2 linked regions of the Drosophila melanogaster genome follow. The protein of the gene in region 2 interacts with the protein of the main gene of each other region in a pairwise test. Each region holds a gene or a part of one and is shown on either strand. Other genes may lie near its edges. The genes, in order: Cdk1 and CycB3.

Region 1 (12,136 bases), on a different chromosome or scaffold from region 2:
ATGCACAGCTAAAGTAAACCGTTTTGCGATAAACTCTTCGTTTACACATTGCAAATATGCATGACACTTCTATTAACTATTTTAGTTCACTGCGCTTATGCGAATTTCAACTATAGGTAAAAAATTCTTTATTTATCATTCAGCTCGTTTTAATTTTCGTGTGCTCGGGATCGCCATCTTTGTTCTCTTCGTGCGTCATCTGTAGCGTTGCGATTCGATAAGAATCGATAGTCCCTTCGATAGACGTACACCTCGACAACCTTAACGCACTGTTTACACCGTTGTCGTTGCGCGATAAACAGGTTACATTTTTTAACTTTGCACTTGAAAAAATATGTTTTTGAGACAATCAGGATAATTTATTTGTATAAAATTGCATTTTATACTGAAATTAAATAGAAAAATTCTAAAAAGAGTAGACTCTGTTATTAAGCTGTGCTATAATTTTAAATTAAATTCAGAAGCTTAAAACACGACGAACCAGGTAAATGGGTTGAAGAAATTTATATAAAAACTTAGTATAAGTGTAATAAGAAAAACTTTGGGTTTCAATAGCTATAACACCATTTGGAAAATCCAATTTTCAAATCTACTATAAACAACGTATAAGGAAAAATAAAGAAAAAATATTAGAAATGTGTTTTTATAATGGTATCATAGCTTCATACAATTTTACTAAGGTCCTCGTTTTTAGTCCCCATAAATCCAGGAATTATTTCGATATTCCGCTCTCTTAAGACATTCCCCGGACACAAATCCTAATCATAGATATTAACAGGTATATGAAAAGTTTATTGCATTGGAAAAACAGTTTGTTGTGCATTTAGCTCCATCGGTAATGTGCGTAGGCGCGGTTGCTTTCGCACAGCCTGTGCAGATCGTCCTTTCGCTTGATGACCCTTCCCTGGCCATGGGCTGCGTCGAGAATCTCCCAGGCCAACTTTTCCGGCAGGGACACCTTACGCTCCTTCTCGCGGGCAGCTTCCAAGAGCCACTTCATGGCCAGAAAATATGACCGCTTCGTGGTGATGGGAACAGGGACTTGATAGGTGACACCACCACGTTTTATGGCGGTCACTTGAAGGAGCGGTCGGCAGTTTTCAACCGCTTGTTTCAGAAGCGTTTCGGGATTGGTGTTTATGGTTGTCTTCTCCCCTTTGGCCAGATTCATGTGCTCCGTCTGGGTTCGTTTTATTAGCTCCAGCGTCTTGGACAAAAGCGTTCTGGCCAAGGCACTGTTCCCCTTTTTCGTTATATAATTGATCATTTTATGTTTTGTATCGTCGTGAAAGATGGTATCAGACGATTTGTTGACCGCCGCCTTGATGGGCACATGGTAAAGCTTGGACAGATCATTCTTTTGCTCTAGTTGTTTATATTTTTGTACAATTGGTTCGACATAGTGTGTGGGATACACCGACATCAATCGAAGGCAGCTACAATAAACAAATGGGTGATCAGTCATTTGTGTTTTTAGAGATAAGTAACACTTTAGAGAAGTTTAACTTACCTGAGCCTTGAAGTTTTCTCTGCAATCCTACCTAAAAGCGACATGTTTACATCGTCTGCTGTGTCGGCAAAAAATAAAAAAACTATGTTATATATATGTTATGCACATTTGCGGCATGCATATAGGTGTGTCAAGATATCGACAAAGAGCTTAGTAATTTTGAAACAACAAAAATGAAGTAAAACAGTTGCGGTATTCCAATTACATTTTTTAAATTAATTTCTTTAGTACCGTACTACTGGTACTCACCTTCAAAAGATATAAAATAGAAATTAATTGCACCAAAAACTCATAAGTTAATTAATAGTATATTAGCAGAAACGTTTGTCTCCGAACTCAAACAAAGTGATGTCTTAATTAATTGAAATCACTATAAAAAAAAGCGTGGAATTTTACAGTACACTAAAATTAACTTTAAAAAAATTAACAACATTTTTAAGATACAGCAATTCAATAAGTTGCCTGAATATTGAGTTTCATTCCCACATTCCAAATGAATAAATGTAGCTAGCTTAGCATCGTTTAAACTGTCTGGTAATACTAGAGCATATACGTCAAAAACGCGCTAATTTAAAAGTCGGTGGCTTGCAAAGAAATAGCTTAATAAATTATGGAGGATTTTGAGAAAATTGAGAAGATTGGCGAGGGCACATATGGCGTGGTGTATAAGGGTCGCAACCGCCTGACGGGCCAAATTGTGGCAATGAAGAAAATCCGCTTGGAGTCCGACGACGAAGGCGTTCCATCAACCGCGATCAGGTAAAATGCCGCGGCTTGGACGCCCAAGCCTCAAAATGTTTCATGTTCTTTCGCGACTTTTCCATTCAAATGGCTTATATGCTTAATTGAAAGTATGTTCCTTGACATCTTATGGGTTGGTTTGAAGATTTTGCAATATTGTTTTTAATTTATACTGTGGAAGTCTAGCATAATTATGTTACGGCTTATGTTCATCATACATATGTGTGTGTATGTACAATCCTATATGCGTACTTATGCTCATGTGTACATCATCATACTTTCTATTTATGTTTATTAATTGGAAGCCTGCGAATACTTTCTGGTTCAACTGATAGACCAATAACTAAAATACTTTAATCACATGTTTTTTCTATAATGTAGTAATATTTAATATCCATTACAGAGAAATTTCGTTGCTTAAGGAGTTGAAACATGAAAACATTGTCTGTTTGGAGGATGTTTTGATGGAGGAGAACCGCATATACTTGATCTTTGAATTCCTATCGATGGACCTCAAGAAATACATGGATTCGCTGCCAGTTGATAAGCACATGGAGAGTGAATTGGTCCGTAGCTATTTGTACCAAATAACTAGCGCCATTCTTTTCTGCCATCGTCGGCGAGTACTTCACCGTGATCTTAAGCCGCAGAACTTACTAATCGACAAGAGTGGCCTCATAAAAGTCGCCGACTTTGGACTTGGCCGATCCTTTGGCATTCCGGTGCGCATTTATACGCACGAGATTGTTACCTTGTGGTACAGAGCGCCGGAGGTGCTACTGGGTTCACCCCGGTATTCCTGTCCCGTCGATATCTGGTCCATTGGATGCATATTCGCGGAGATGGCAACGAGAAAGCCGCTATTCCAGGGTGACTCGGAAATTGACCAGTTGTTTAGAATGTTTAGGTAACCACAGGTAATTTACTTTCTATTCCCTGTGATACTCACACTCATTGATTGCAGAATTCTGAAAACACCTACCGAAGACATTTGGCCGGGCGTTACTTCGCTACCCGACTATAAGAACACGTTCCCCTGCTGGTCCACGAACCAATTGACCAATCAGTTAAAGAATCTCGATGCGAATGGTATTGATCTCATACAAAAGATGTTAATCTACGATCCAGTTCATCGCATTTCCGCCAAGGACATTTTGGAGCATCCCTATTTCAATGGTTTTCAATCGGGCTTAGTTCGAAATTAACGTTCGGTATTCTCGTTTGACTTTAACTAAGAATTTTAAAACAAGAGATCTTGGTATCTAATCTAAAGCAAAATAGCCGTAAATAAAACTAAGGGTGTAAAACAATCAACGTTTACTTAATTTATGTAAGTGTATTTACAGATTTACGCCAAATTACCAGCGCTCTAACAGAATAATAAGGCTTCAAGGCTTTAATTATTATACAAAAAGAAAGTTAAATATGGAAATCCTCGTTGAAACTAGTCCTATTATAGAGAGCACTGCTAGCACCGCTGTCATGACGTCTAAAGACGCCAAAGCAGCCGCGCCTCTTCATCACGTAAGCACCAATGATGGTCGGCACCGCGATGAGCAGGACAACCAAGAGTCCAACCCATATAAGACTGCCCGTCGAACTTTCTATCATATGTTCATTCGCCACTCTGAGCAGCGTAACATCGTTTAACTTGTTCGGACCGCCACATTTGACATCTTTGGCCAGAACGGGCGTGGTCTTGTTGATTCGATCTATCAAGACGTTGATCAAGAAGTCATTGGATTCGTCGCAATTCCACGGGTTGAATCTAAGATCCAGAGCCTTAAGTTTATCCCAGCGCACTAGTAGTTCTTTCGGCAAAGTCGACACGTTGCAATTATTCAAGTAAACCTAAAAGTTTATGTTATTTAGTTGATTAAAGCTCTACATGCTTTTGCACTTGAATTACCTTTTCCAATGGCGGGTAGTCCAAGTACTGGCCACCAGTTACGTTCTTGGATAGAGCCTCCTCATCAATTTCATTTAGCAGTTTGTTGTCGGACAATATCAGTTCAGTTAAACCTAAAGAAAGATGGTTGTTCGATTAAGCCATTAGCCATTAGTGCGCGCAGGTTCACAACTTACTTTGCAGTTCACTAAATGCTCCTGGCCCAATTTTGTACAACTTGGACATAAAAGTCATGCTGAGGTGGGTCAATTTGGTCAAAGGTGGAAATACACTGAAAAAATTAATAAATATATTGTTTTGCGCATACACTTAAACGAATCCTAGAATGACTCTTACTTGTCGCCAATCAAATTTTCGATGGGATTTTCGTTTAAGACCAGGCTGGTCAAGTTCGTCGCATATTTCAGGGCCTTTGGCAATTGATTAAACAGATTGCCAGCTGCTATAAAGATCTCAAGATCTCGGGGACCATGTAGAATTGTATCCGGCAAGTCATCGATTTCCATATAAGAGACATCCAAGATCTAAAACGAACAACATAAACGAGCTTTTGAGTTCGTAGAATTATAAAAACATATGAATTTCGCATACCTTCAACGATTGTAAGCCGGAAATGGCTGTTTCTGAAAGTTGATCGATGACATGAAAACTATTTGAGCAGAGAACGAGTTCCTCAATGTGGGGAATGTGTTCAAACAGATCCGCATCCAAGCTATGCAGATCGTTGTATCCCAAGTTAAGAGTCTTTAGATTTTCCAATGACTCAAAATCTTGGACAGTGAAGGGTCCTTTAAAAACATCCGGTACCAGAACTTTCGAAGTCAATCGGTTATGCGACAAATCGAGTGTGACTAGTTCGGTTAAATTCTGAAAAGCTCCCACGGAAATTGAATCGATTTGGTTGTTAGCCAAGTACAAGTTCTCCACATCGTATTTCGGCAGAATTGGCACGCTGGTCAGATTGTTGTGCTCCAGATTGATTGTTTTGAACACAACATTGCCGTTGGTCAGATCCTCCCAGTCCTCGGCGGACAACCAATCCTGCAGTTTTTCGGAGCAATCCAGCAAATTGGTGTCGATATAGCAATTGCACTTCTTACACAATTTGCTATCAATTACTTTGATTTTTTCCTGCAAGTAGTGTGTATTATATAGCGAACTAAATAACTAATGATTACCATATAGTTAAATGTTTCTTGGACATAGCTTTGCCATGTCTTAATATGTCGGTTTCGTTAATTTTTAGATGGTTAATTTTACCTTCGACAAACATAGAAATTAAATTAAATTTTATTGCGATTTTTAAACAACTTATTTATATTACACACTGTTCTCATTTTTTTTTAAATTTTTTGTGTGGTGAATTTTTCGGTCTTTCTTTGAGTCATCTTTATCGATTTAGCTTTGCAAGACTTTTTCTTATCACGAATTTGATAGTGATACATATAATTTAGTCATTCTATTACTTTCACAAATATTTAACACAATTTAACATAATCTGTTCACTAATTTACAGCAGTATGCACATATCTTTTTAGTTAAGTTGCACAAATGATATTTGAAATCTAACTATATGTATCAATTCCATTGGTAATGTAATCGGCTTTATTATTCAGTTTACAATTGCATTCGTAATACGCACACCCACACCAATTTCAGAAAATTAAAAATTAAACACTTTATGTGGTACCTTTGGCGTCTCGGTTGTGGTGGTTTCATCTTTCGTCTGCCCAGAAACTTGGCTCAAAACGATACAAAAAATCGCAGCAGCTAACGTAGCTGATTTTGTTAAATTCATAGTTCTCAAAATTCTTTTGCCAACTAAAATTGAACTATAGGCGTGTTCACCGATCGATTAACTGTACATAACTAACAAGAGCACAATGAACAAAACCCCACATATTATTCACCTAATATTTCACGAGTTATCTTATCTTATCTCTTCAAAAGCATTGATACACTATCCAACAAAATAGTCGCTTTTGTGGGTCATTCGACTTTCGAAATGCGTTAAAATTAAATTCAATAAGATTAAAACCAAAATTCACATATTTTAAGCAAGTGAATCTTTTTACAATATTAATTCTGAATTATTTTGGTTTATATCCACACTAGTACCCTTTGTGCATAGTGTAGACACTATACGCTGATTAAATCCATGATAAGATACGGGAAAAGGGCTATAAGAGTATTGGAAGTGACTAAGCCATTTATACCCAAATACCTTATTTCACCTTGAATTAACTGCTTAAATTAAACATAATTGGCACAAAATAAAACAAGACTCGATAAAGGGCTTACAAACATTTCTTTGGCTTATGTTGTAGATATTGTTATGGAATGCTTATCTTAGAAACTAACTTAACTTGCTGCTAAATTGTTGAACATTTCCCCACAAGAAAAACAAGAAGAAGTGTCCACAGCTTGTAACCGAAATAATAAGGGGCCAAAGATCTGGATACTTTGTAGGTGCCGGAACGGTCAGAGAAGCAACCACAACACTGATCATCAGAATCTGCGATATATTTGCAATGTACTTCAGTGGATATTCGTTGCTGAGCTTCGACTTTGAATCAAAACATTTGAATATCAAATGAAAAGCCACAGTGGCCACTACGGCGGGCACCAACAATTCATCTCTTGCTAGAAGAGGCAACATGCTGAATACGGTAACTTCCAGAAATAAAATCATTTCGTCGGGCCAGCACTTAAGTAGGAAAAGTGCTGGTAAAGCAGTCAGCAAAATGGTCTTCTCGTGCACCTAAAAATATATAAGTTTTAATACAAAACTCGCTTTAAAGTTCAATGTTTTTACTTGAAATGAAAACAAGAAGAATGCCAGGCTCGTGTTGAAAAGCGCTAATAGAAATCCGACATTAGTTCGCCTTCGAAAGAGTAGTACATTTGTTGGCAAAGATGCAATTAACGTGCATGCAATGCACACAAGGGCCATTTGGTCATTGCTGATATGCTTCCTACAATTTGTTACATTACAAAATTGTATCCAACTTGATTCTACTTTCTTACTTTAGTTTCCAAACTACGTTGACGGCACACCAAACATTGGCCACCTTGTCCTCAAAAACTCCTCGGGCGACAGGAAACAGGCGATGGAGTACTTGAAGTACGGCCTGCAGAGATCCCAACCAAGGAACCCATAAAATAGCAAATGTTCCTAAGACAACGGCTGCTATCCGTGAGATTTCAGCGATAAAAGAAGCAAAGCTGTGGTTGAAAAGATTAAGATGAGTTTAGATTTAGTATCGAGGATTCTTTAGCTGTCTTGCTATTAAAAAAAAGTCGTTTTGAATCGCAAGTACCCACCTTTTTTGGCTTACACATTCACCCAGAAGGAACGCAAAGAACGGCAAGCTGTGATACAGCTCCATTTGCTTATAATTAAGGGCTAAAGTGAAGAAAAATGCAGCCGCGTAGAATCTTCTTCGCAAGATTGCGGCAATTGCCACGGCGGCAAAGCCCAGTGATATATTATTATACTGAAAGTGTCCATTGTCGATGAGTGTTTGTCCGGGATACGCGGCCACCAGCGTGAATAGGAACAATTTATCATCGCTTCGAAAGGCTTTATCTAGGGAATAGGCCAGCAACAACATTGCCGGCAAATAGATGAGCACGTCAGCAGAAACAACTGTTGCGCGCATGAAGCGTTTGTGCTCCTTCGACTCGAATCCCCTGCTCTTGTGCAGCTCGACGAAGCGGGGGTCAATGGATGCTCCTATGCGACCCACCAAATAGCTGTGGTAGGCCGTCAGAGGCGGATAATCCAGGCCCCAGTACTGAAGATCGTTGTTGGAGCTGTTTGTGTACCATTCCCCCACTGCCAGATTGACCGTGATCTCTTGCCAGTGGCGCTGGGCCTCGTAGTCGCCATGCATCGGCGGGGAATCGAAGCCGGAGTAGGAGTACAGCGAGATAATCGACCTAACCGCCAGGCCCAAAAAGGCGCTTGCCAAAATTTCGGATCTCATCTTTTTGTTTTGCCAACATTTTTCAGCGATGGTAGTTCAGCTATGTAGAATTATCGATAACTTGTGTCAAATACAACGACAAGCTAAGATTGCACCTCACGGAACTGCGGTATATGAAACAGAAATCGGAAGGGGGTCTTACATTTGAAAATGAGTTCAAAAATATTCATAACATTTTCGTATTCATTTTTTAAATGTGTACCACCCAACTGAAGAGCAAATAACTTAACCAGAAGCGGGTTTCTTAAAATTGATCTGTTTATTTAAAACGTTCTTATGTCGGCAACAAAATTTAAAAGTCGTTTTGCACTCCGTATTCGAGGGTAAACAAAACGAAACTGGCACTTCTGCCCATTTTGGATTGAAGACAGCGCTTTTGAAAACGCTCACGGAAGTAATATTTATTTACAGTTGTACATACAGTATATGAATTAGCATACTTCTAAAGGTGCTTACATAAATCAATCTATATACTAAATATCGAACACTGAGCAGAATAACAGTTTAAAGGTGACGATCAAATTTTCCGAGTTATTAGGTAACAAATCTGTATGGCTTTATCATTATCATTTTACGCTAATTCCATTGTTTGTAACATTAAAATGTCAGTACCAGTACCAGTCAATAAATATGAACATCTAAGCATACATTATATCTTACGTACCACTATGAACCATCAAAATATGCGGTTTTCAATCCCCCATGACTTATTGGCATAGGTATGCATTTTATAAGTTTTGTGGTAACAAGTTCGTGAATTCTCATCTTATTTCTCAATTCAATACATTGCATGTAATGGAAGTCTATTTACAGTTTATTCTTAGATTACTTTAAATGTCTTACCATGCCCACGCCGGCATCTCAATATGGTATGTCAATGATCTATTTACAATCTTCTATTTTAAAACAAATATTCTCAAATATAATATCCTCGAATGATTGAAGTTGCTCCATTCCAAATACCATCGATTATAAGTTTCAGCTATGCATAGTGACTATTATAAATGCTACGAATACCTTGTGAGTTGCCGCCAACGAGAATCGATCGAATACCACCGCGCCCATCAGCAGGAACAGCCCAGAGAAGTAGAGGATTCCCCCGGCCAGAGTTACGCCGCTAGTTCCATTCAGTCCACCCAATGTGATCAATCCGAAGGTGCCGTTGCCGTTGGTCTCCGTATCCAAAATGCTCCGATTGGCGTGCTGCATGGCCGCCGTTTTCTCACCTATTATAATTACAATGAGTATGACATATATTTAAATATCGACCGGCGGCGGTCTTACCCCTTAGAACATGCACTGTAATGCTGGCAGGACGGGCATTTGATGGAGCACATGTATAGTTGCCGGCATGACGGAAATTGACTTGCTTCACAGTAAGCACACTGACCGAGGGATTCAGGAGATAGGCGGATTGATGCTGTTGCGTCATATAGGGCGTGGAGGAGGGCACATTGGCGGCCGGTGCCTTGATAGCATCCGAGCTGCCCAGCAGGCTGTTGAGCACCCCATTGCTGGACTCCATGGGCATGGTGGCGCGCGATTTGTTCGCCGGCGAGCTACGGTAAAACTGGCCACTCTGCGGATTGCTTTGCCCAATCGATGTCACAACGAAGCCGCCTTGTGAGTCGTAATTGATCATTTTACTATCATGGTACCTAAATTGAAGAAATTGCATTCGGTTAAGTTGGGTCTTATGTTTAGAATAATATAAAATTTTACAAATCTAACTCATATTATTTTTCATACCAAAAAACAAATGCAGGATTCTCGGTAGCTCGCTTCAGTTTGCATTCGAGTCGCAGAGTAGAAGTCTCATCAATATGCAATTCCGGTGCACTAGAAATCTCAGCTACCGCTTCTATACAACGAAAAGATTCAATACCCGTTAAGCTTTGAACTTTGTAAGGCAGCTGCGTCCACTTACCGACAATCTTTAATTCTATAACTATTGACTGAGTTGGATAAATAGACAATTGACACTCGTAAAAACCGCGATCTTCCTCCCGAACTGCCTTAATTCTCAGGGACCAGTGGCCCATGTGCCGCGTGTGCTCCACCAAGAATCGCTTGTCACTACTGTGGGTGGATAGGCCCACTGTCAGGAGCTGGAAGTCCTTTCTACGTATCCAGGAAACCTGAAATGTTGCAAAAGGTCTAAGTATTAGAATCGATGTATAAATTTTAAGAAAAACATATATCTCACCGTGGCTGGGGAGTTAACTTTGACCACACAGGGCAGAATGGCAAGTCCTCCCTTTTGTGCAATAACTCGAGTGTTGTTCTTCGTATTAAATTGACTTTGTAAGGTGTTACCAAAATGATTTTGAGACGAAGTGATCTTCCCGACATCTGAAATGGTTGTTCAATGAATATTAAACAAAATCTCTTAATATAAATGTGTCAAAAATCACATGAAATGAATGAATCCAAAGTGATTTGCGGTGAAATGTTAAAAAAAAAAAACTTAAAAATGTAAAATGTAAAAATGAAACTTAAAAATGTATCTTTTATCTATGCCTTCATAGCTTTCGTTTTCATAGCTTTCGTTTTATTTTTAATTACTTTTGCATAGAAATAAAATTTTTCGTTCACTAATTTCTCTTGGTATTTAATATTTTTTTTTATTTACCTTCAAAAGCAATCAAAATAAAGTAAAAACGCAATCGAAGGTTTTCGCTTCCAATTTATAGCATACAACTTAGCGCAAAAGTGATAAAAATCGTTTAACGATTCATAAAGTTGGCGACCTTTGCTTACCAGAAAAAGTTGAACTAAGGAGTAGCAAAAAACATGATAAATGCAAGTGCCATCTTTTCGGTTCCATTATTTCCGAATTCGAGGCTCCGCGGATCGTATACTTTTCTAATTCAACTTTATACCCGCAGCAACATTGTCCTCCTGCAACGAACTTCAGTTTATGAGTACATTTGTATTTATGTATGTATGTATGTCCAATGTGTATTTCTAAAAATATTTGTGGCAACAACGATGCACCGTGGAGTATGTATGTATGTTTTATAGCTCGCAGATACAAGATATTTATATGTATGGGTCACGCAAACAACTTGAAACTTGTATCATGTTTTTTCTTTTTTGGGATAATCTTGACTTAAGTGGAGGAATTCAATTTCTTTCTTCACTAATATTTTATGCACAGAAAAAAAACACATGTCACGGATACAAACATACATATATGCATACAGATATATGTATATATTTTGGAGGAAATGCATACACAGAAATTGATGGAGGAAAACTCACTTTTTTCCCGTTTTTCTGCTCTTTTTGCACTGACTGCTCGGCAAATCCTTACGCGTACATACACATTTCGCCTCTAATTGTTTATGCAATCATAAAGCATTCGTATGACTATTTCATAGCTACATATTTTCGAGAATACAGATACAGATACACAGGTGAAAGATGTATAAATTGTATGTATTGACCGTCAGAAGTGCAGATTTCTCACTGCATTTTCGTTATATTTTCACACACGCGGCCTCTGTGTGTGCGGGTGTGTGTATGTGCGTGCGGGTGTGTGTGTGTGTGTGTGTGTTTAGAGAAAATGGCACAATTCTGGATTCGAATTTACTTGGTTGGAGCCAAGAGTCCGCAGTTCACACCCCGGCGAATACAACTTCGTTTTCGAAGTGCCAATCGTCGACTAAATTGAAGTCGGCAAAAAGCCCCATCCGTATAACTCACGCAATCGCATTATGTGGGGTCTCTTCTCTCCGGATTGCATTGCATATGCGTGTTTAAGCCAACTCGACTCGCCAATCGAAGGGATGATGACAGGAATTATTTAATATTATTCATATTTACTGCTGGGCGGCATAATGAATGGCATAGAGAATCGCATGAGTCGCACAAAAGTGGCGTAACAACGGCGTGTATTCTTGTTCTAAGGGTAATAGATAACGAACTTTGGTGGGGTGCTTTCCAAAATTAGTTTTATTCTGCTGCCAATCGATTGAAATGGCG
Region 2 (14,721 bases):
TGTTACCTATGGTACCTGTAAATTGGAAAAATTCGATACAACTGGCCATAGGAAGAGTGTAGATCCAAACCCACTGAATACTTCGAACCAGGTGTTATTCAGCAGTCGGATATAGTATTGGGCATGGGGGTCTCCGAAGTAAACCCTGAGAACGGAGATGTCTGTACCGAACTCCGTCTCGTTGTTCTCGTCCAGCTTCAGCGTGGCCAGGTAGTTATCGATTGGCAGGGCACTCATTGAAACCTCGTACTGGACATCCCGGCAGGAGGGCAGACATTGTGGGCAATAAAGAGCCTCCTCGATTTCCCGCTCCAAGCCATTAACAATGTGCCGTTCCGTCAGTATATTGCGCCACTTAACTGGAAACGAAAATATTGAAATGGAAGAACGTGTGCGCGTAAGCCGCTGATTGGCTTACATATGTACTGATTGAGACAGGAAACGTGTCCCAAGGTGCAGTAGACAACGCCATCGAGATTTTCCACCAGTTGAAGGGGCATTTGGAAGGGGAGACACCGGCACAAGGCAATGATACTCCGGATCCGGCACCTGGTTATGCAATTCGGGAAGGTGTAGCTAAGGCTGTACGTGTTCATTAGCTGCTCATGGATCGGATTCTGTGCCTCGTACTCAAAATAACAGCGGCGCTATAAGATTGATATTATAGGTGGTCTTGAATTTGAAAAATAGAACAGCATACACTGAACGGCGAAAATGATTTTAGGCTATCATCAGTGTCCACCACTCGCGCGCAGACCGCAATGTAGCTATCCTCTCCTTGGCCAGGAAACATCTCGAGCACATTGGAGGAATAAACCGAGGCATAGTTTTCAGCATTGTGAATCATGACAATGTATCCATTGGTGTTCAGAATGGGGGCAAAGTAGTCCACGTGACTGTCGTTCAAGACTACTTTCAGACCCAGTTCCGAGCTGGCTAGACGATTCTTGAAGTGCCGTTTCTTTAGTCTGTTGAAGATTTGGTTAAAAAAGAAATAATAATAAGAGCTACCATTAACTTGTTCTCCATGTTGAAGGTGCAGCAGGGTCCGTACATGGTAAGGCTATCCTGAAAGGCATCCTTGCTGAAGCAGGGCACTTCCACATTGGCTACGGTGCACTTCAGCACGAATCCTTGGCATCGCGGGGTCAACTGTGAAAAATAGAAACAAGATTCAATATATTCTCGATCCGTGCTATTCTTACCATTTTCATTATGCGGCGAGTGTCGAAAAAGGTCTCATTGTTCCAGGTGCCGAAGACGTCGAGGAAGGTCTGGAAGGTAATGAAGTCATCGGTGTCCACCACTACGCCAACGTGTGTATAGAACTCGCGGAAGAACCTTAGGCGCTCTAGAAAGTATTCCACTGGGCGAATTACAGGACTGTTTAACCTCCTAACAATAAATATAACAACAAAAATTTAAGTACACAAATATTTATTTCAATAATTTTAGCCTCACAATTCTTCAGCATATTGGATAACTGCCTGGCGAGAGATGCGATTGTTGGGGCAGATGGAAACAGCCGGGAATGGCACATTCTCCACTGGAAAAAGAGGATCCTTCAGATTGGTCACAAAGGATTGGGCCACGAACTGCTCCCATGTTAGCGAGAGCACCACAATCAGGGAGACGGTGGTGGCCATGTGTACCAGCAACCAAATCAATCTATTAAAATATGACTATGCCGGCTTACGTTGCGTATGAGTAATATTTGGGAAAACTTTTGTACCTTTGTCCCAAGGTCAAGTCCGGTGACAAAAGCTTATTGTAACCCTGTAGGGATATGTTTCTAACCAGATCCGCCATATCCAAGCAGAAGGCTGAGCCCAAGGACTCCTTGCGTTTACCTTTGGAATTATGTTCCCCGGCTGCCTTGGGATTCTTAATCCACCAAATGGCATTGGATGTTGATGCCAGCTTGACCATATTTCTGAGGTCTTTATTTACTCCAATCCTTTCCGAGCTACTGTTTGTTGAACTCTGACTGGTAACTAAGAGTTTGTATAGCTTACAAGTGTTCATTGATGAATAAAAGTATCACGAAATAGGCGTGACTAGCTAATGCGTTTCCTTCATTAATGCGGTTAATTATGATTAGTTTAGGGGGAACTTTAGAAGTTAAAGCAGAAAGGTTGTACTTTATGACATTTTTAATTGCCATAGTATTCCATTGGAATAGTCTTTGACACACTGTTCATGTTACTAATCTTAAGCTTAATCCTATTAAATATTTTCCTGTACAAGATGTAGCAGTTCATTGTCTAGCTAAAGCTGAGTCAAGTCTTTAATGTATGTTTATATGAAGTTAACCATGCTAGTCCAGTCCTATCCCATTGGCCAGAAGGGCTGGCCAGGATAAATGCGGGATCCGGGAAAGGCGTACTGGTTGGGATTGACCACTCGGGCGATATCCGTGTAGCTGCGACCGTCACGCTTCGGTGTTTGATGGTATCCACGGGCCGGGGAGCCAGACACGACGATCAGAAGAAGGAGCAGGGCGACCATAAGGCAATGGATGGCTCCTTGGACGGACATGGCTTGCAAGAATTGATATGTGAGTGCTCCGCTTCCAGTACTGAACTGCACTGATGCCGGTGACCAGCCTATTTATATGGATATCGTCGGCTGATCGGTTCTTGGCGTTCTCAGACGCTTGGCTTATCAATCAGGTTTTCGCAAACGACTGAAGCCCCCAAGAGAATTGCTTTGCCGCTCACGTAGATCTCGTCTCTTTGTGTGAAATGGATTTTTATGATCACTTTGTTTTCTCAATATTTACTGACACGGTGCCCAGCGCCAAGTCATTCACACCGCAGCCCGTTATTTCATCCGATCGGCAGTGAGTTGGCATATACATATGAACATCCAACACCTGATCTTGACTCTAATTGCACTGTGAATGATCTAGCCATATGTAGGCAACTCGACCCAGCCTCTCAGCATAAGTGCTCGCTCGTACGTATTTAAATTGTAATTAGCGACTCTGTCGGGGTATTGGAGTAATGACGTAGGTGCGCCATCTGAGGCGGCGTATTAGCACATTCTTGCATAAACAATTGCCATGTTCGGCGCGATTAGTTGCCACTGACTTGGGCACCGAAGTCTTCCTTCCTGTACTGCGATCTGGTTTCTGGTTTCACTTCCTCAATGCCGGTCGTCGGTGCTCCGGGGGGAAGTCCTAGCTGACCAGCTGCATCTCGGCGTGAATCACTTGCTTACTCGTGCGCAAGTACCTCGATGGGATCGTTAAAAGACTATATATACCACAGTTGTGAGCCATGATAAGTCCAGTCGGATGATGACTTGGGTCATTAACGGATCGAAGAATTTCTGGCAACTATGTCTGTTGAGGTTTTAGCAGGTTATTAAATGATTTTGGCATTAAGCTTCTTCCGGCAATACTTACGGCTTTACAAAGGTTGATGTAATAAGAAAACTATAAAAATAATTGAGCTATTCATTTGCCAATTTTCCAGTTATGCGAAACTCATTATTTAGGGGATATTTAGTCAATGATTCGTTCGATCAACTACAATTATTAGTCGCTTATTAAAATATTTGTCAGCCATGAGAATACAGAATCAGAATATTCTGTCGTGCATAACAGATATGGTTAGGTATTACCCCAAAGAAATCCCTTGGTGTGAGATCCCAGTCAGGGACCTTACCCACTACCCCACTGTCCCAATCCCCACATGAAACGATGTCGCGCCTCCATTTCATTACAATTACCATCACGTTCCGGCGATCCACTGGACGCGACTACTCCGCAAATGCGGGCTGATGATCATAAATCAGTTGATCGTAGATTAATATACACGTACGCACATGTAGCGGGCTTAAAGTGCTTAAAATAATTAACAGCTTGTGGTTAGATGTAACTTTCGCTGATTTTATTTTAATGGCTAATACTGCTGACAACAATGCGAGTTCAGACGGTCGAATCGTTAACCCCAAAGGGCGGAATATGGAGTACGGGGCAGGAAGCGACTGCCTCCAGGACCGATGTATGGATCGGGATTTATAACTCTTCGAATGTCCGAGTAAGTGCGTCCTTTGCGGTTTCCAGAAGGCTTGCGTCCTCCTTTGGAGTATGAGTAAGAGGAGTGGCCTGAGTAAGCTGGGTAAGAGTAGGAATTATATGCGGGATAGTTGTAACCATATCCTCCAGCATAGCTTCCATAGCCGTAGTTTCCCTGACCGTAGCCTCCATAGTCTTGTACTCCACTATATCCAGTATATCCTTTTCCCGTCTTCCAGGACTTGAAGAACAGAGCGCCACTCGAATCCAGGCAGCACGCAATCAGCAATGTTAGGATAGTCAATCGGGAATCGCGGGATCTCATCTTGCTTCGATTTCGAATCACTTCCAGTTCTGACAGTTCATCTACGCAGTTCCCTCTATTTATACCCTTGTGGATTGGAGTTGGGCACATTGTGATGGTGACACATTGTGGTCTAGCTCATTTCAATTCTTTTTTTTTACGACTTCTTATTCCCATAAACACAGTCGGAATCTCTGGAAGATTAGCGTGGCCAATGGGCAAGCGACTTAATGCATTATGCTGGATTTATTATAGCACGCGGATTGGCACGATCAGCATGCGGAGCACGCTTCATCCGCTGGAAGACTGAGCTATCGCAGATGGTAGATGGTCAGTATACAACGGACATCTCATACCCCAACCATTATATAAACTTCCATATAAATACACACTGCTGAGATCGTATGAGTGTACTTCAAATAAGAATTTGAATTAATTAAAATATAACACTAACATACAGAGATCTGTAAAGACTGGACGGATACTACTAGTAAGTCCCTTCCATTTATTCCTCTATTATGGATTTTTCATCACTTGAAGTATCTCTTTCATCGCCTGTATCTCTTATTCTTTTATACTTCAATCTGTATACTACATACTATATATGTATCTCAATTTTTGTTTTCAAGCTTCAGGTGTTTGTTTACTTTTCGTCTGATTATTATTATGATCATCTCTCTGAGACCTATTTTGGAGAGCGGTTAAGATCTCTCTGGTTGCGGACACTGATTTTCATCATGCTCTCACTGATCGCCGGACAGGTTTTCAATGTTTAATCAAGCATCAACGATTATCGCATAGGCGGAGCGTAAAAGTTCCCCCTCAGTTAGAGTCCGCCTTTTGTGGTGATCACTGCTCGAACACCCGAACATGACGCGATCTTCGCCAGCTTGGTGTGCTGGCCAGGCCTGGCTCGTCTGGCTTTTGGCATCCATCTGGATACGCACGTGTCTCGCGCAATTTGCAGTCTCCTCGTCCTCCGCCGGCGGAGCTGTTGCCTCCGCCGGTGGCGTCACTGTGGTGGCCCAGCTGCCCGGTTTCGGAGTTATCAATGGACTGATCAATGCCATGCACAACAACAACCGCTTCAACCAGCAGCCGCAGTTCGAGAGACTGCAGCAAGGAAGGCCGGGGATGGGTCCGAATCGAGGAGGAATGCACAGACCAGGATTTGCACCACCCAACCGTCAGCAACCGACGCCTCCTGGCTGGCCACCCGGCTGGCAGTGGGGAGCCGGTGGAAATCAGAATCAACCCGGATTTGACTGGGTTCAAACAGGATTTGCACCAGGCTGGAATGGAGGTGGAGGGCAAGGACCAGGATGGAATGGTCCAGGATGGAACGGAGGCGGTGGAAGAGGACCTCCACCAAGACCAGGTTTTAACGGCGGCGGACCACCGCCGCCAAGACCAGGATGGAACGGCGGCGGGCCACCACCACCGATGCCAGGCTGGAATGGAGGAGGGCCACCGCCACCAAGGCCAGGATGGAATGGCGGAGGACCTCCGCCACCAAGGCCAGGCTGGAATGGAGGGATGGAACAGGAATGGGATAACTATCCACGCCTCCCCGATCAGCCGGATCCCAATGATCCAAACACGAATTGGAATCCAGATAATGAGTCTAGCACCACTCCACAAACGCCAATACCAGGACCCATCTTTCCAACGACAACACCTAAGCCAGAGCCCACCTTTCCCACGATCCAGCCACGTCCAACCGCTCAGCCAACGAAGGATACGCTCATAATAGGAACCAATCGACCGCCGTTGGTGCCGCCCCATAATCCGGATCCACCCACGCCCACTTTTCCCACTTGGATCGTGCCGGAGCCATTGCCAAAACCATTGGACGAACTCTCCGAAAATCGTGCTATTATATTCCCCAGCTCTAGCAAATATATCCATGTGCCAAACCCGGAGGTTCCCTCAATTCCCATTGATGTGAGACGAAGATGAATCTTCTAAGAGGGAGTTCCCCGATTCACACTTGTTGTATATATATTCGTAGACCATTGTTCAATTGCTCCACCCGAGATCGTCTTTGTCATAAGTTCAAAACAGGTTCTAAAAGCTCGTTGGAAATAAACGAAATTTTAATAAATTACACATAAACAAATGAGACAGCACATGATTGGATGAGACTGGGGTATCTGACGGATGAACGTTAGTAACCCCGCTGCTTGTAACCACCTCCACCTCCGTAAAGATCCTGATTCTTGTGCGGATAATGGACACTGGCAGGATGAGACGGCTGAGAGTAGTATCCAGGCGAAGGACGCACTGACCAAGGTGGTGGATAGTAGTCATTTGCTGCCGGAACCGGTCGTGGTGGGTAATAGGCATAGCCACCTGGATGCGTCTGCTGGTGGCTACCACCGTAGCCGTAGCCTCCACCATAGTGATAGTCGTAGCCCTGCTCGTAGCCCTCCTGGATGAGTGGACCTGGTCCAGGATGTAGCTGTGGATCAACTGGCCTTGCTGGCGGATAATGATTTGGGTCGCCGAACAGAAGCTCCGCAATCTTATCGAAAGTGGGTCTACCGTGGGCCAAGCTGGCCAGGATTAGCACTAGAATCGCAGCCAACAACTGCATCTTGGGATATGTAGAGCAATTTTGCTGATAGTCCCAATGTCCATGCGGCTTTTATAGCCAGCAGCAGCACATGGCGATAAGAAAGATGAATGGAATCGAGTGGAAGAACCTTGGGTAATGGAACAAATGCTATATGTACATATGTACTTATAATACTAATCTATTGACTGGTAAACAAGGTTGACTGGGAAAGCTTTCGTTCTCTATATAAAGGGAGGATCATAACTCATGATCATCATCTATGCAAAGATGAGTTATGAATTGCTTGGGAAATCCCTAAACCAAAAATGCGTCTCAACTTATCTATTACTTGGCTTTAGGCCGCAAATTTATACATTGCAAGAAATTTATATATAACATTTATATTTATAAATTTGTATATGGGTATTTCTTTAAAAAATTCATTTATTTGTTCAAATTTATGGCTAGTATCTATGCATATGCACATTGTTGTGTTATATTTTCAACTTTTGCTTTCAGTGTAGACTCTCTCATTCAATTTACTAGAAAGAACACTCAATGAGACTTAAACTACATATCTGGGCATTGAGCCCCTGATGATAACCCCAAAAATAGACACTCAGCTAAGCTCTCGTGTCATCAGATCTCACCATGAAATACACGCGCCGTGAGCTTCTGGGCTTTAGTGTACCCAAAGACGCCATGTTAAGCAGGAGGGTCATCGCATTCGCCGCTCTGGCCCTCATCCAGATAGCCAGCGGTCAGGCCTCGCAATTCAGCAGGGACGAAAGTCAGGAGGATCAGAAGACGGAGTTTAACCTGGCCTCCACTCTGACGGGAGGCATTACCAGCAGTCGCCATCGCCAGCGGGCCAATCTCAATTCGCAACTTTATCCTGGCCTTGGTCAGCTGGGATCGGGTTATGCGGGCGCAACTGGATCCATCGACGATGCCCATGGCCATGAGCAGGGTGGCTCTGGCGTACGAGTGGCCAGTACGAACTCCGTTGTTTTTCCTGGCAACCAGTCACCAAATCCGGCACTCACAATTACAGGAGGTCACCAGATTCCCGCTTATCCGCCTCCGGGTTTTCCTGGACAACAGGCTCCAGTTCCGTACCCAGCTGCAGGAGGCTCTTCAGGAGGATCCTCATCATCCGGTGGTTACCAAAGTGCAGGTAGGTCCTTCTAATAGGTGGTTCATTTATCTTAGTGAAATCAGAAAACTAATATCAAGTCTTAACTCCCAAAAAAGTTATACAAAATTTAAAAGATTGGTGAATAGCAAATCCACATTTTGAAATATATATGAAATTATGATATTAATGAAATGTCCCCTTTTTAGGTGCTGTTTCTCCTCCTGGCTATCCTGTTGCTGGAGCAGTTCCTGCTCAGTATCCGGTGGGAGTTCCTCCCCAGCAGCCAGTGGGTGCAGGAGCACCTGGTTACTTCCCGGGAACTGGTGCCTATCCTGGCTATCCCTACCCCGGAGTATACTTGCCACAGTACCCAGCGTACCCTCAACCAGCCCAGTTCCCCGCCTATGGAGTGCTACCCGGAGCTGTGGCTCAACCAGGAGTTCCTGGAGTAGCTGGAGTTCCGGGAGCACCTGGAGTGGCAGGAGTGCCCGGAGCAGCTGGTCAGGCTCCTGCCACCAGCGGCATGAACTATCATCGCTATCCGGCTCACAATCCCGCTGATCCGAGCCATTGGGACCATCATTTCTCGATGAACACCGAGTACAAGGAGGATGGCGTCCACAAGGGACCATTTGGAGTGCTGAACAATCACAATGCCTTTGGCTATGGCAGTGGATATGGGGGCGGATACAACGGTGCCTTCAACTCGCCGGCCTACTGAAGCTGGCCGACATCATGGGTGGACCTCGGTGGTGGTGGTAGTGGTAATGGTGTTGGTGGGGCGTGAAGTAATCCGAGTCGTAGTCATAACTTCGCTGCTGCCTCCTTGGCCAGAGGCAGCTGTCTTTGCCTATCATCCTGTGTGTCCCTGCGAAATAAACTTGATTTCTGCACACCCAACCAAGATAATTAGCAATGCTGGCCAGTTACCAGTTGCACCTTGAACCGGAAAAAATAAAGCACATGCACTCGGCATTCTGCTCCCATACAGACAGCTAACCCAAGACATTCACATCCCATCCTTATTCTTTTCCTTATTCTTATGGCAATGCCGCTTCTTTTATCCGGCGTGGACACAATCGAAGACGACAGGAGCTACCTGGCTGGCAGGCAGCCGAAAAAAAGGGAACGCACAAAGGCAGGACTCTGGGCGAGCCAAAGGTGGTGGTAGAAAATCAGCGTCAGAGAGAGACGCTGTTACTGGTATTGGTACTCCTGGTGCCCTTCGCTGGACCCAACTGCAGCGACATAAATCGGCTGGGTTTCGCTGTGCAGCGGAAAAGAGAGGGCCGAAGGAAAGGAAAGGAACCCAACCAAGGGACGACGTCTTGATGTCTTGCGGCGCATGCGCAGCCTGCCGCGCAAATCCTTAACAAATTTTTGGCGCTAAAATGACGGACGAGCGCGCCAAAAGCAAGGAACCGCAGGAAACTCGAGAGAATCATGCCCGGGGTATACAGACTACGAGTATACAGACAGACACTTACACTCATGGATTATGAATGATTTGGACGGACGGTATCGGTGGTTTTTACCTGTAGCAAATCGAACCGATTCCAGCCAGGGTTTGATGTCCTTAGGTCATCAGCCATCAGCTGTTCTATGATGAGCGCGGAGAAAGGAGCACAGATTCAGCTGAGAGGATTCGAAACAAAGGAATTAGAATGGGTGGGGTAATGGGTATACTCACGGCAAAGAAGTCTAGATGTGCTAAACGTTTTCCCTTAACCTTTGACATCTAGGAGTTTATGCTCTGTTTCTAACAATTAAAGATTGAACTGCAACAAATACATACATTCCAGATTCTAGGAAATTGAAAATAATGCCCTAAATTATTTAATCCCCTAGGAACTAGGATCATTTCCAACATGCTGGATAAAGACAGCTAATTTAAAATACTTATTTAAAGTAAACATAAACACTAATGATACTACAATTGCATTCAACTAGTTATATCTGAGTTAATACTCACCCGATTTTGAAACTTCCATCAGGTTTTTAAAAGAGTTTTCTAGAAAGAAAAATAAAAATACGAATTTATTGCACTTACCCTATTAAAAGTAAGAATTTTTTCACTTCGCCCACCGTTTTCCGAATGTAATGATGGTAAAAAGATTGAAGTATTTTTGAACGGACGTAAAAATGTTTATTGGTATTCTCTCGCAAAACGATACATACATAACACTGAGTACATACATAACTAGTTACTTCAACAATGCAACGTTATCAACCATCCATGGATAAACGAGGTGAACTGAGGCAGGGCGGGGCGGGGCGGTATGATCAGGAACTGGGAAGTTGATGGTGAGCGTCCTTCGAGGGGCGGGAATGTGAGCGCAAGGAGGGGAGTCCATGAACGACTTAACAAATAACAGCATTAATAACGACGACAGGAACAGATGCACATGGCGTACATGGCGTGCACGGGACGAGGGTTGATCGCAGCGCATTTCCAGGTTGTACGGGACACACGTGCCTTTCATAGTCGCTTCGTATCCTTGCGTTTGTGTATCTGTGTAGAATAAGTTAGTGGGGATCCGTGTCTGCTTTGGTGGCTTACGAGTTAGGTTTATTTAATGCTGGCATCTCTTAAGACTAACGTACATATTAAAACATGAATCGTTTTGGGATTTTTTGGGTGGGGGTGCTAAAGATAATGTCGCCTTTCGAGTTTAGATTGATTGTGTTCGGCTACGTATGCGGTATGTGGGAAAATTAAACAATAATACATGGCAAAAAGAAACAAAAGCACTCTTAACATAATATTTATGCAAAAAACATGTCAATAATGCGAAGGTCACAATAATAATTAAAATATAATAAATTGCGAGGACTTGACGGGAACACTAGGTAAGGGGTAAAATCAGGGGTTTTTAGATTAAGGCGGGGATCCGCTGTTTCGTCGGGATGGGGCTAATATTGGGAATAGAAGCGTCTTAGAGCCTAAGTGAAGCGTATCGTATCATGTTGAATTTGGCTAAACTTTGAGGCTGTCCTACGACAGATTGCTTTCGTTCAGGTCAAGGTTGCCCTGGAAGAGCTCCTGGTTCGTCAGCAGCGGCACCTTGGCCACCTCGTGGAATATTTTGTGCGAGTACTTGTTCCGTATCGTCTTGATGGTGGCCCGTGGCTTGCGATGCAGTCCTGCATTGAGCGCGGTCACAATTTCAGCAAAGTCCGCCAATTGATAGCCGGTGTAGTAGATAAGCGTCGATGTCCACGTCTGCTTGTCCAGCTGCCCCGGACCGCCGTGCATACGCAGTGCCATGAACAGTGCGGCCGAAGCCATCTGCGAGTCACTGAACGAAATATTGGCGTAATCCATGAGCGACAATTCCAGGATGTATCGAGCCAGGGTCAGCGTGGGCATAGGCACCTTGGCGCATCGGGCATAGCGGCGCAGGAAACGGTACGAGAGCGGGATGCCCAGATCGTACTTGATAACGCGCAGCGTCTCCCGCTCCATTCGCACCAGCTCGTCGTGATTATAAGCACCATCGCAGATATACAAAAAATCCTCTATAAGCGGCGGCTGTCGCTCATCGTACTTGCAGGCAATAAAGAAGGCAGCGGCGCCCAGAAGTTGCAGCTTCTCTTTGTTGATCACCTCGCGGCAGAGATACAGATCGACGATCTTAACCGCTAGGTACAGAGTCTCGTGGTTCAGCTCGAACGTTTCCTGCACCTCCACCATCCAGTCGACCAACAGGGTGCGCATCCAGGTGGTCAGATGGATCTGCCTGGGCATATAGTCGGCAATGGGGAATTCCGCTTCGCGCACTTTGAGGTAGTTGAATATATCCATGGCGTAGTGGGACACCTGGAAGGGATCGTCCCAGTTCTTGCGGTCGAAGTCCTCTACTTCCTCGGGCACTGGCGGAATGGGCACCACCTGGCTTGGAGCAGTCTCTGGGAGTGTCAGCAACAGCGGCTGTGGCTGCTGCTCAGTCTTTTGCTGCAACTTGGCGGAGCGACGTCGCGCCGCCTCAAAGTTTCCAGACAGCCGCATGGAGTCGCAACTGGAGACATCCTCCAGCGCGGACATGTACAGGCTGTCCTCAGTCTTGTTGAAGTCATTGGAGATCCGACGAACTGGCTTGACGGCGGCAACCTGGGGAGCAGCCAGATTGTGCGTGGGCGGCAGTAAAACGGGAATCTGCATAGGATTTGGCATGGCCGGTAGCTGAACCTCCCCCAAAACGGTCTTTTTTGCGGCAGGCACTGCCTTGGGGCGCGGTTTGGGCCTGGCCAACGCCTCTTCCAGCTTATCGAGCACTTTGTGGCAGTTCTCCACCGAATCCTCCACTTTACTGGAGGCGCGCGTAGTCATCTTACTGGCGCCAAAGACATTTACGCTGAGATTCTCCTGTTTCTTAGCATCCATCAGGGCCTGCAGCTGCTGGGCCGTTGGCTTTTTGCCCACGCCCGACTGCTCCTCATCCTGTGCCGGATGCAGTGTCATGATCTTAACATTGTTGGTCAGGTTACCCAGCGCCGAGCGCTTGATTTTGTCATTTTTAATTGGACTGTGGTCGGCCTTGCGTTTGGCGCGCGTCTGCATATTCTCCACATTCGGATCGATGTTTCCCGTGGCAGCCGCCCTCCGAGTCAGTCCCTTCCTAGTGGCAGCTCCCAGGGCTCCCAGGATGGGATTCACTGCCTGCTGCAGCTGATGATGCCCGCTTGTGATGGCCGCGCGCGTTGTTGCTTTTGTGGGCGCCATTTTGAATGCGTGTTTGCGTGTGAGCGCACTCGTCGTTTGTTGTTTGTGTTCTTGTGCGCGGCGCCTGGAGTCCTCGTCTCCTCCACTTCCACTTGGTTTCAGCAAGATCCTCGCTAGCGGATTCCTTGCAGAATGTGGTCTTTGTGTTGGCTAGAACTTGAGTCGTTCGCTACTGCCGATATTGTCGACTCGATCAAGCCTAGACATTCACACAAACTCACAATATAATTCCGGATCGAGTTTTGTGGAGTTATGGCGCTTGGCCGGAGGGATAGAGAGCACTGAGTAAAAAATCAAAAAAACACCGCCAGATGCCAGATGCAGATGCGGCCTGCAGTGTGACCGTACCGCGGCGTTCGGTCGCCTAACGGAAATCGACTGGAATACACCTCTGTGGTGAAGGTAGGCATTGGGGGTAGTCTTCCAGAGCGCGGCTAATTTAAATGTCTGAAGTTCAAAACATGTGAATTGAACTATTTGGGCAGTTTGCTTAAATATGCAATTGCAAATTTATGGAACTAAGAAACTCATCAAAGTAGCCTCGAGCAGCTGACAGAAAGGAATTTGTTTAAATATATTTATTTAATTAATTGAACAGTGCCCAAAAATCCCCATCAATCCAAACAAGAGAGAAAAGTAAAACACCTGCTTTTACACACAACTGTTTATTTAAATGTTAAACAAAATATATGTATATATACGTTTGCTTGTATCAGTTGTAAAACTAATGATTATATATAGGCATAATTAATATTAAATTTAATTCAGTTTTTGTTGCTTCAGCCAAACGCGGGTTTCTAAGAACTCAATCAAGTATGCATACGACTTGCGTCAGGTTTATCGAAGAGATATATAATATATATATATATATATATATATATGCATGCGTAGAACTAACATTAATTGATGGCCTGCCCCAAAGGCATGACAAGTTTAAGGTTTTTTTTTTCCGTTTCTGTGGAAAACACGCATACAGTCACTCATACTCGTACATACGCACTAAAACACAACTTATAATTACTGATAGGAAAAATGTACATTTGCGGATATCAAACACAATTAAAACATAGTTAAGAGTATATGACGTGTGTTGTAGAACATTAAGTATAAATTAATTACAATAAGCTGCTTGGTCTTGATCTGAAGTCTAATATTGGGTGGCAGGTAAACTTTCATTCATTCAACTTTCCATTATACTTACAACTGCGTACGTTTATAAATTAAGTATGCTAAAAATATGATACAAATTTCGTTTTCTCTCATTTTCTTTATCGAATAAAAACAATAGTTCGAACAACAAAAATTCAAATAAAAACAAAGACAATGATGTAAAAAACTATTGCAAAGGGACGAGGGCGTGGGGCGGGTCTAGTTTTACTGCCTAAGCAGGCGATCTTGTTTCGGCTGTTGACATTTACGAATCTCATAAGTTTTGCAAGAATGACAGTAATTTAGTTTCGTAGTTTTTATTCGATTCCAGATTACGCAACGAATGCCGCTCCTCGGGGAACAGATGCACCTCGTACGGCTTGTTTGCCTTGTTCAAAGCACTGATCAGACGCGAGGTGTGGCAGAAGTGCACGTTCTCGTCGATCAGGCCGTGTATGAGCAGCAGGCGTTTGTCCCTGAACAAAAGAAAACATGAATGTTTCGAAAATTTGACAATTTAAGAACCAGCTTAAGAACTCACTCTTCGGGAAAAGAGTTTACGTATTCGAGCACCGAACCGGCTGAGTAACCGGCCTCGTTATTTTGCGGCATATCCATGTATCGTTCCGTGTAGCCCGTATCGTAATACTCCCAGTTGGTGACCGGCGCTCCGGCAATGGCCACTTTAAAGATTTTCGGATACTGAACCAGGCCCATCAGGCTAAGATAGCCCCCTGTTGAAATGACAACCATATGGAAATTATTGCAATGCCTTTACCTTTACCCAGTTCCCTCAATTGAAAGTAACCATTATAGTGCATTAATT

What was found.
Region 1: the proteins of CycB3 (region 2) and Cdk1 interact in binary tests that used the Drosophila melanogaster proteins (3 or more experiments, as listed by UniProt).

The regions. Positions count from the first base shown.
Region 1 is NT_033779.5:10,376,162-10,388,297, reverse strand, and holds Cdk1 (Cyclin-dependent kinase 1), read left to right. Parts: upstream 1-2,035; 5' UTR 2,036-2,120; coding exon 2,121-2,269; intron 2,270-2,654; coding exon 2,655-3,158; intron 3,159-3,215; coding exon 3,216-3,456; 3' UTR 3,457-3,559; downstream 3,560-12,136. Other genes in the region: mRpS7 (mitochondrial ribosomal protein S7), read right to left, coding at 824-1,436, 1,511-1,554; CG5096 (uncharacterized protein), read right to left, coding at 3,671-4,102, 4,161-4,273, 4,337-4,431, 4,497-4,684, 4,752-5,291, 5,851-5,958; gny (garnysstan), read right to left, coding at 6,517-6,921, 6,976-7,135, 7,188-7,385, 7,485-8,149; dpr19 (defective proboscis extension response 19), read right to left, coding at 9,128-9,375, 9,434-9,807, 9,899-10,010, 10,077-10,287, 10,356-10,501, 10,910-10,976. UniProt on the Drosophila melanogaster protein: Plays a key role in the control of the eukaryotic cell cycle. Required for entry into S-phase and mitosis.
Region 2 is NT_033777.3:24,857,783-24,872,503, forward strand, and holds CycB3 (cyclin B3), read right to left. Parts: upstream 13,035-14,721; 5' UTR 12,747-13,034; coding exon 11,019-12,746; 3' UTR 10,152-11,018; downstream 1-10,151. Other genes in the region: ppk22 (pickpocket 22), read right to left, coding at 1-15, 75-359, 419-647, 701-968, 1,019-1,152, 1,206-1,395, 1,462-1,668, 1,733-1,929; CG13639 (uncharacterized protein), read right to left, coding at 2,329-2,538; CG13640 (uncharacterized protein), read right to left, coding at 3,951-4,349; CG7016 (uncharacterized protein), read left to right, coding at 5,199-6,287; Srg1 (Sting-regulated gene 1), read right to left, coding at 6,496-6,924; Elal (Elastin-like), read left to right, coding at 7,588-8,062, 8,230-8,744; CG3744 (uncharacterized protein), read right to left, coding at 14,170-14,371, 14,437-14,629. UniProt on the Drosophila melanogaster protein: Cyclins are positive regulatory subunits of the cyclin-dependent kinases (CDKs), and thereby play an essential role in the control of the cell cycle, notably via their destruction during cell division.